Drosophila melanogaster: one gene and its partner. The main gene of each other region encodes a partner of the protein of the gene in region 2 in a complex. Each region holds a gene or a part of one and is shown on either strand. Other genes may lie near its edges. A codon is read from its position in the direction of its gene.

Region 1 (4,723 bases), on a different chromosome or scaffold from region 2:
ATTTGTGCACAAGTGTCTATTCAGCGGCCAGCACTTGGCAAGGGTTTGCGCTGAAGTGCTCGAAAGGGAAAAGCAATACACTATCCAAATAGCTAAGAAGTGAAATGTACTGAACCACACTGCGTATACTTACTCGGTCGTTTTTCCTTGCCCTGCAAGGGAAGTTACAAGTTAGTTCAGTTAGCTCGAAAACGAATATTAGATATGTGTGGTCAACCTGTTGCGATTTCTGGCTCTCAACTGCCCGCCTGTTCGCCTCCGTCTCAGCCCGCAGGAGCACATCGTCGAGCGCCTCCCGCAACGCGGCCATGTTCTGGGGATTTTGCTTGAAGGCCTCAATCCGCGCCTCCAGTGACTCCGTTTCGATTCCATCAACGCTGTCCGGAGACGCTGGCTCGGGATCCGCAAATCTGGCATGCATCTTTCCTGGGTTTTTGTGAGAATTCCTTTTTATCCTTTGAAAATGCTGCCAGAAGCGTTTCGAGCTTTGCCTTTGTCCTGCGATGGGTATCTACAAGGAGTGCTGAGCAGAGCTCTTTGTGCGTTCACCCAGCAATGCGCTGGAGAAATCAATAGCAAGCCACTTGGGGGCCCATACCCGCACATGCGTGCTGACTGCGTGGGCAAGCTTTCGATTTGTGGGGTGGGAGAGCAGTCAGTTGATTTCAACAGTTCGTTATTTACAGAACTGTAGCTTAATATTTCTATGGGAAATCCTTAAATAATGTTTTTTTTTTTGCTTGCTAAGAAGAACTAAATCCATTTTACACAAAACGTGTGAAAATAATGATTTAATATTCTTCCTATTTGTGTGGTTACATTTTTTTGGGGTAGGAACCCGCATTTTTTATTTTATTGCATACAATATGACAAAATGTGGACTACGAACTAAGCTGGCTACTCCAGGTGCGAGAGATCGTCCAGCTCGGGCGGTGCGCGCACAATCTCCGTCTCAATGATCAGCGAGTTGGCGTCTAGGATGCTCTGAAAGATTGAACTGTTATACCATCAACTGCTGGCGCTTCGCTACCGGCAATAACACACACATTATCGCTGCTCCGCTGTGCAGCCGCTAGTAGACTGCCGCTCGAGCTTGAGTTCGAATTGGAGGCACTGGCAGCGTTGGAGGCCGCGGAGAGGACCACGCTGTGCGGAGAGCTGCCACGCCGCACCACCTTCGCCTGGCCCTGCTGCGGCGAGTTCTGGGTGACTATCACAAACTTTTGCGCCGGCTGGTTGGCCTGAATGGCTCTTATTTGCGGCAGGGACGAGACTCCGGGACTTCTAAAACAAAAGAATATTTAACCGCTTAGTAATGGGCATAAAAAGACATGTCAACATGGTTTCCATTAGGAATCAAATGCTTGGCTGGAATTTTATTTTATGCTTAAAAGTGTTATTTACCCCTGTCTCTGTGTGGTGGGCATGGACACTCGTCCGATGGTTGTTGCTGTTTGTGCTGCACTCGTGATGGGTGCCGTGTTGATAGTGTTGGATGACAGGGTTACAATGCTTGAGGCGGGCGCATTTCGAACTTTGACTACTGCCTGGCACAGCGACGGCCCCAGGAAGCCAAAGTCGTTCTTGTAGTCCTCCGCTGTATCTGGCGCTGAGCGCATTTGCCTGAGAATCGGGGGACAGCACTTCTGAAGCATGGCGCGGATGTGACCTGCTGCTGTCTTGTCAGTGTTGCTGATGGAGGTGCCGAGCAGGTGAGGTTCAATGCGCTCCGATATGAACTTAAGGCGGGGTATGATGAAAACCTTTATGACTTCGCCCCCCAGCTCCGAGAGACCCGCAATAGAGCCGTAAAGCGAGGACAGGTGGGTCTTGTCGTTCTGCAGGGCCTTGCTGAAGATGCTGAAGGTTGGGAAATGGATGTTAAAAGGTTATTTAATTTAAGTGGATGTGATTTACCGGGTGACACGGGTTTGCAGATTGTTGGTTAGGGTATTGAAGTTCTTGCAGATTTGAGCCATCAGTCGGGAGGCAAAGTCTCGCAGGGCCCAGTGATTGTCCAGCTCGGGGCGCATACACAGCTGTTTGGACACAATGCACGTCATCACCGAGGGTATCAGTTCGTGGAGCTATGCGGAGACAACATCGTTTTTATGAGAAACAAAGAACAATACAATAAGAAATTTCTTACGTATTTCTCCAGAAACAGCGAAGGATTATCCAGAAGCGCACGAACCATGCGCATGAGGTAAATAAGCAACGCCAAGTTGTTCTGAACCACATTGACCTTAACTCCCTCGGCAATGAAGGTGCACATGCGGGGAAGCATTTCGTGCAGGCCAGGATCGGATCCCAGCGACTGCAGCGCTTCCCCGCGCCGCGGCTCATCAGATCCCACGCACGCCTCGGTGATCTCCTTGTAGTACAACTGCTGCTCCACGGACAACTCGTGCGTGGCCAGTTGCTTGACATGAATGGTCTCCACGTTTTTCAGCTTGTGTATCTTGCCGGTGGTGGGTTTGCCTGCCGCATCTTTGTTTAGGCCTTGATCCATCTTAATAACTGGATTGACCGAGTCCAGTAACTGGGAATCCTTCGAGAGCGGAGGGGGGTTTTCGGGCACAGTGGGTTGCACTCCCTCCACAACAAACCAATGGGAGCGCAGGGTGAGATCCAGGGGAATTTTTACAGAGTTGGTGGATGTGATTTCTCCTAGGTCGATTTCCTTGTCCTCGGTGAAGTGCAGCTCCCGTCCTCCGCCAGATGCGAAGCGGAATGGAATGAAGTCCTTGGCTACGAAACCGTACTGCGGCTCCACATTTCGCACCTTAAGGGACATGTCGATGTCCCGCACTGAGAGCTTCTGCCGCTTGGCGTGGTTCATGAACTTGGCCGCATCCTGTACAATCCTCTTCAGCTTGATGGACACATCCTCCGCTAGTTCCTTGGCGGCGTCATCCGACAGGGAGCCCACTCCGATGCTCTCCGCGATCACCTTCATGGACTCCGCCGAGATGCTGGAGCCGTACAGCATGCTGCTGGAGGGGCTGCTCGGTTTCGACGGTTTTCCACTCATTTCCCAGGTTTTTACAAATAAACAAATAATAATCGCCGAGCTGCTCGGCCAGTGTGCACACACCCAAAAGAGAAAATCTAGCTATTCTGGCTTTTTTGTTGTTTCATATCGTCTGCTATAATTAGTTTTATGGTCACCTAAAATTTTGCTATTTGCGAGTTCATGTAAGGAATATATTCCCATAACAAATATTTAGTTACAATAGTAAAAAAAATATAAGAATTCATTTTTAATTCATAAAAAATGTCATATTAATATTACTGGTTTCACATTGTTATACAATAATCGGCTTGTTTTTTTCCAGCTATTTTTGAATAGAATCCACTATTGTTCGCGATAGTTGCCTGCTAAATTCCGCCGCAAGGTCACACTGTCGCGTAGACATCACGTACACCCCAGCTGGGCACACTGAAACGCAGTCTTTTTCTTTATTTATGTTCGTAAATTTTTGGTTGCCTGGCTTTTTGTTGTTGCGCCACATTAACAATAACAATTGATGCGCCCCGCCACCGCCCACTAGTCGCGAAAAAAGTGAATTATCGGTACCGCGGATTAATGTGCCACATGCGAGAAGCGTTGCAACGTTGCGCCGTCGTCGGGCGTCGAACAAAGCAGTTTTTGGGAAAGTGAAAACGGCGCCATTTTAGAAGCAGGCAAGCCACGGCCTAAGGCTCAAGAAAAGTGCAAATGCAATGTGTGCAGCAATAGATTGTCATTTCGGCACAAACGAAACCGACTACTGAGGTCTACTACTAGCCCAGAAAACAATCAAGCGTAAGTGTGCTGTAGGTAATGGTTTTTTTTTTGGACGATGTCACCGCGGTTTGACCTACTTTAAAGGCGATTAAGAGTGCCACCAAATCGAATTAAAAACACTTGGCTAACAAAAGCGAACCTTTGCAGCTCCCCAGCGACTCCAAAATATGAGCTGTAGCCAAAATGAGACGGCAGCAGCAAAGGTTCTGGAAACGCAACGCGCACAAGAATCCGGCAGTGAAAATGAGGCAAGTCTTTAAAATGGCACCCTTTATGCAATGCTATATGTAAAGTGTGTTGTTCTCCTCAGGAAACCGATTCCATTACGGATCAATCGAGCCAGTCGAAGTCGATCAAGTCAGCCACCCAGTTTAGCGTGCAGCGTTCGGACACCGATGGACTGCGAATGAGAATCTCGGCCATCCGCCCCACGTTAGGAGTCGTAGCAACCAAGAAACCCCCAAAGTCCAGAAAAATGTCTACCCAGGACACCGAGTCCGGCTGCTCGGAGGCCAAAAATAGAGCGGTCAGCAAGAAAGTGAAGGTCAAGCGCAAGAAGCTGGCAAGTTCCAGTGGGATTAGTAAATCGGACAAAGTGTCTAAGTCTAAGAAGTCACAGATCTCGGCATTTTCCTCGGACTCAGAGGACGATCTGCCCTTGAAGGTGCATCAGCAGAGAGCTCCGCGAGTGCTGCTAAGTGCTATCATCCAGGCGGCACAGTCGGCCAGCAAACCCACCCTCGATATCGGAATCTCGTCCAGCGACAACGAGTTACCTAACCTGGTGCAGGCGGCTATCAAGCGAGTGGAGAGCGATACGGAGGACACAACTGTGGAAGGAAGTTTCCGCAAAGCGGCCAAGGACAAGAACCTACCCCAGTACCAGTCAACTTTGCTGCAAGACTTCATGGAGAAGACTCAGATGCTGGGGCA
Region 2 (3,518 bases):
TTCTTTGAGAAGGAGAAGGTCGTGGGCGAGGATTACTTCCAGCAGTGGAACACGGTATGTACACCAGCTGCATTGGGCATGTATGTGGATTAACTAATGATGAATATCTTGATTTATTAGGTCCTGCGCGACAACACGAAGATCGCCTACGACTGGTCGTACATCGTGGCCTGGGCAGGAATCGGAACCTGTCTCCTGGCGTCCATTCTGCTCTCCGGCGCGGCCGTTTGCCTGCGCAACGAGCGGGAGAAGGAGGAGCAGCTGAACCTGCAGTACCTGATGCCAGGTATGTCCATCGTGCTGACCCTCTAATATAACTAATGACTAATTTTCGGTTTCCATTTCCAGTTTACTCGCAGAAGCAGCCACCCTATCCCCCTTATGCCAACTACGCCCAGCCGCAGATCTACCCAGGACCTTACTATCATGGCTCGCAGTACGGACCCTACAACTACTAGAGGCACACCCGAAGGGGCCAGCCAGCTTCAGCCAGCAGCTGCAATTGAGTTATAGAGACATAGAGATCACAAATCATGACCAGGAGGGAACCTGGTAGCCCTCCCCAGTAATCAAAATAGAGCAAGCGCTAACGAAATCTTAAAACGCATACATTCTGACAATGAAAATATTACTTAAAGCATCAATTTTTTTTTTCGACAAGAATCTAGTTTGTAGTCTATATAGAGCTATATAGTATATATATATATGCTTGTATGTATAACTGATCGTGGGACTTGAGTCAAAGTTGCGTCCAAGTTTTTGGTGCGCGAATTGTTTGCGCGTTATTTTGCAAATATCTAAGAGAGACGAATGGATGGATGGTTTTATATGTTGACCACGGCGAGATGGCGATTTAAAGACGGAACAATAAAGAGTTAATTTATTGTAGCACGTAACGTACATGTAGCGTATCTAAAATAATAATAAAGAAATATGTGTATGTATCTAAGCTAAAAGTTTCATTGTACAATGTATATGAATGTAATAATGCGCGACAAGCTTCAATTGTCTTCCAAGTATAGTGCATATTGTATGTAGAGCTGTACGTTTAATGAATAAAAGTTTCTTACGTTAATTTAACAGTTTTTAGCTCCTTTTGGCGGGACTTCGTTTTTGTTTTTCCACAACTGGGGTATTCAAGTTTTGTTAATAAGCTTATCAAGTCGTGTGAGAGAAATTTTTGACTTTATTAAAACTAAACAGAATTGTAGTCTTCATTTCACTCTGCCATTTGTTCTCGTTTCGTTAATTCCGAAATATTTTGAAATTGTTGTTTCTGATAGTTAATATTCCACCTATTGGTCCACCTATTATGCCAATGTGGTGTTATGTGATCTGGTAGAAATATGCTTATTGTTTAATATTTTGGATAAGCTTCATTAGATTTGTTCCTACATTTAAAAATCGATTTCTAATTTAGCCGTTTTTTTTAAATGGCCAGAGCCAGAGTTGCCACCCTGCAGTCCAGCGGCGTTTTCCACACTAGACGTCTGCATCGATAGTATCGCATAAGCTCACCGATTTCCGATAGACCCGTATATATGTACGTGCACAATTTCAATGGAATAAACAATCTTCTTGCAGCAAAGCCGACGTAAACATAATAACTATAGAAGTATGAGCGCAGAGAAGTCCGATAAGGCCAAGATCAGTGCCCAAATCAAGCACGTGCCGAAGGACGCGCAGGTGATCATGTCCATCCTGAAGGAGCTGAATGTCCAGGAGTACGAGCCGCGCGTGGTCAACCAACTGCTGGAGTTCACCTTCCGTAAGCGGCGATTAATGCCTTGCTTTTCCCACATCATTTTCCTAAATGCTGTCTTGCATTGCAGGCTATGTAACCTGCATTCTGGACGACGCCAAGGTGTACGCCAACCATGCGCGCAAGAAGACCATCGACTTGGACGACGTGCGTCTGGCCACCGAGGTTACGCTGGACAAGAGCTTCACCGGGCCGTTGGAGCGCCACGTTCTAGCCAAGGTGGCCGACGTGCGCAACAGCATGCCCCTGCCACCCATTAAGCCGCACTGCGGTCTCCGACTGCCGCCCGACCGCTACTGTCTCACCGGCGTCAACTACAAACTGCGGGCCACTAATCAGCCCAAGAAAATGACCAAGTCGGCGGTGGAGGGCCGTCCACTGAAGACCGTCGTTAAGCCCGTCTCCAGCGCCAATGGTCCGAAGAGGCCACACTCCGTGGTGGCCAAGCAGCAGGTGGTGACCATTCCCAAGCCCGTCATCAAGTTTACCACCACTACGACAACGAAAACGGTGGGCAGCTCCGGCGGATCTGGGGGCGGCGGTGGTCAGGAGGTTAAGAGCGAGAGCACCGGCGCCGGCGGAGATCTCAAGATGGAGGTGGACAGCGATGCGGCGGCCGTGGGCAGCATCGCTGGCGCATCCGGTTCGGGAGCAGGAAGTGCCAGCGGAGGAGGAGGAGGAGGAGGATCATCTGGCGTTGGAGTGGCCGTCAAGCGGGAACGTGAGGAGGAGGAGTTTGAGTTTGTGACCAACTAGCGAAACGACATCATTTACCTTAAATTAATATTCTTAAACCAGACCAAAGCACTTGCATTTGGTTGAGCGAACTGGGGGTCTAAATTTCAACTCGAATGTGAAGTCCCAAAAACCTTAGTATAGATTCGCCCGTTAATCATTATGAAATCTACGTTTTATACACAAATACAACTACCAGATTTTCATATTAAATATAACATTTATTTTAGACTCCAGTCGCGGATAAAGTACATGTAATGAATGTGCTGAGTGGGATGAGATTACTTTAAAGCTAAGATGATGCAGCAGCCAAGGTCCATGATCTGCAGATACTCGGAGCCGCCGTCCTGCAGTCGAAAGCAGCATTCCTGTGGGATAAAGGCAGCAATAAACAAGAGGAATCATATCTATCTATGCAGTCAGTACGTACGCCCAGCTTATCGCAGATCGTGGCCTTTTGCGGATCATTCAGCCCCGGATGATGGACAATGAACTCGACGAACTGTTCCATCATTTGGCCAACGCTGTAGGCGGAGAAGCCAATCTCCCGCACGAACTGCTCCAGGCGCTCGTAGTTCCCAGAGCGACAGACCTCCAGGTAATCCTCCAGATAGTACTCCGGTATAACGCCCGACATCTCGAACAGATCAGCAGTGTTGATGATGTGCTCGGGCCCTTTAAGGCGGTAGCAGGACTGCAAGGTGGTGATAGCGCGTCGCAGATCTCCGCCGGAAATTTTGACAATGGATTTATAGGCATCGTCCTCTATCTTTACTCCCTCCATCTCGCAAATGTACTTCAAACGATCGATCACCTTGTCTTCGCCCAGCGCCTTGAAGCGAAATTTAGAGCAACGCGACGTGATTGGCACGATAATTCGGGACACATAGTTGCAGATCAGGCAAAAACGGGTGCTCCGGCTCTCCTTCTCCATGGTGCGACGCAGCGCAGACTGTGCGGCATGGGTCATCGAATCGGCCTCGTCCAGAATGATGATCTTGAAGGGCGGACACGGCTTACC

Evidence for each region.
Region 1: the proteins of Taf9 (region 2) and Taf6 are in contact, whole or in part, in a crystal structure (PDB 1TAF), measured with the Drosophila melanogaster proteins. Residues at the interface, in NP_523391.3 of Drosophila melanogaster: Lys20 (codon at 1,675), Asp21 (codon at 1,678), Val24 (codon at 1,687), Ile25 (codon at 1,690), Ser27 (codon at 1,696), Ile28 (codon at 1,699), Leu29 (codon at 1,702), Glu31 (codon at 1,708), Leu32 (codon at 1,711), Val34 (codon at 1,717), Glu36 (codon at 1,723), Tyr37 (codon at 1,726), Glu38 (codon at 1,729), Arg40 (codon at 1,735), Val41 (codon at 1,738), Gln44 (codon at 1,747), Leu45 (codon at 1,750), Phe48 (codon at 1,759), Thr49 (codon at 1,762), Phe50 (codon at 1,765), Tyr52 (codon at 1,835), Val53 (codon at 1,838), Thr54 (codon at 1,841), Ile56 (codon at 1,847), Leu57 (codon at 1,850), Asp58 (codon at 1,853), Lys61 (codon at 1,862), Thr71 (codon at 1,892), Ile72 (codon at 1,895), Asp73 (codon at 1,898); in NP_524161.2 of Drosophila melanogaster: Gly18 (codon at 2,983), Ser19 (codon at 2,980), Ser20 (codon at 2,977), Ile21 (codon at 2,974), Ser22 (codon at 2,971), Glu24 (codon at 2,965), Ser25 (codon at 2,962), Met26 (codon at 2,959), Ile29 (codon at 2,950), Ala30 (codon at 2,947), Ile33 (codon at 2,938), Val35 (codon at 2,932), Ser37 (codon at 2,926), Leu38 (codon at 2,923), Ser39 (codon at 2,920), Asp41 (codon at 2,914), Ala42 (codon at 2,911), Glu45 (codon at 2,902), Leu46 (codon at 2,899), Asp49 (codon at 2,890), Val50 (codon at 2,887), Ser51 (codon at 2,884), Lys53 (codon at 2,878), Leu54 (codon at 2,875), Lys55 (codon at 2,872), Ile57 (codon at 2,866), Val58 (codon at 2,863), Gln59 (codon at 2,860), Ala62 (codon at 2,851), Gln71 (codon at 2,824).

The regions. Positions count from the first base shown.
Region 1 is NT_037436.4:19,597,471-19,602,193, reverse strand, and holds Taf6 (TBP-associated factor 6), read right to left. Parts: upstream 3,107-4,723; 5' UTR 3,035-3,106; coding exon 2,150-3,034; intron 2,088-2,149; coding exon 1,918-2,087; intron 1,861-1,917; coding exon 1,405-1,860; intron 1,285-1,404; coding exon 975-1,284; 3' UTR 812-974; downstream 1-811. Other genes in the region: CG9368 (uncharacterized protein), read right to left, coding at 134-152, 218-421; ash1 (absent, small, or homeotic discs 1), read left to right, coding at 3,958-4,038, 4,101-4,723. UniProt on the Drosophila melanogaster protein: TFIID is a multimeric protein complex that plays a central role in mediating promoter responses to various activators and repressors.
Region 2 is NC_004354.4:17,840,642-17,844,159, forward strand, and holds Taf9 (TBP-associated factor 9), read left to right. Parts: upstream 1-1,519; 5' UTR 1,520-1,617; coding exon 1,618-1,768; intron 1,769-1,832; coding exon 1,833-2,518; 3' UTR 2,519-2,707; downstream 2,708-3,518. Other genes in the region: CG6398 (uncharacterized protein), read left to right, coding at 1-54, 121-286, 349-458; CG8142 (uncharacterized protein), read right to left, coding at 2,779-2,865, 2,928-3,518. UniProt on the Drosophila melanogaster protein: TFIID is a multimeric protein complex that plays a central role in mediating promoter responses to various activators and repressors.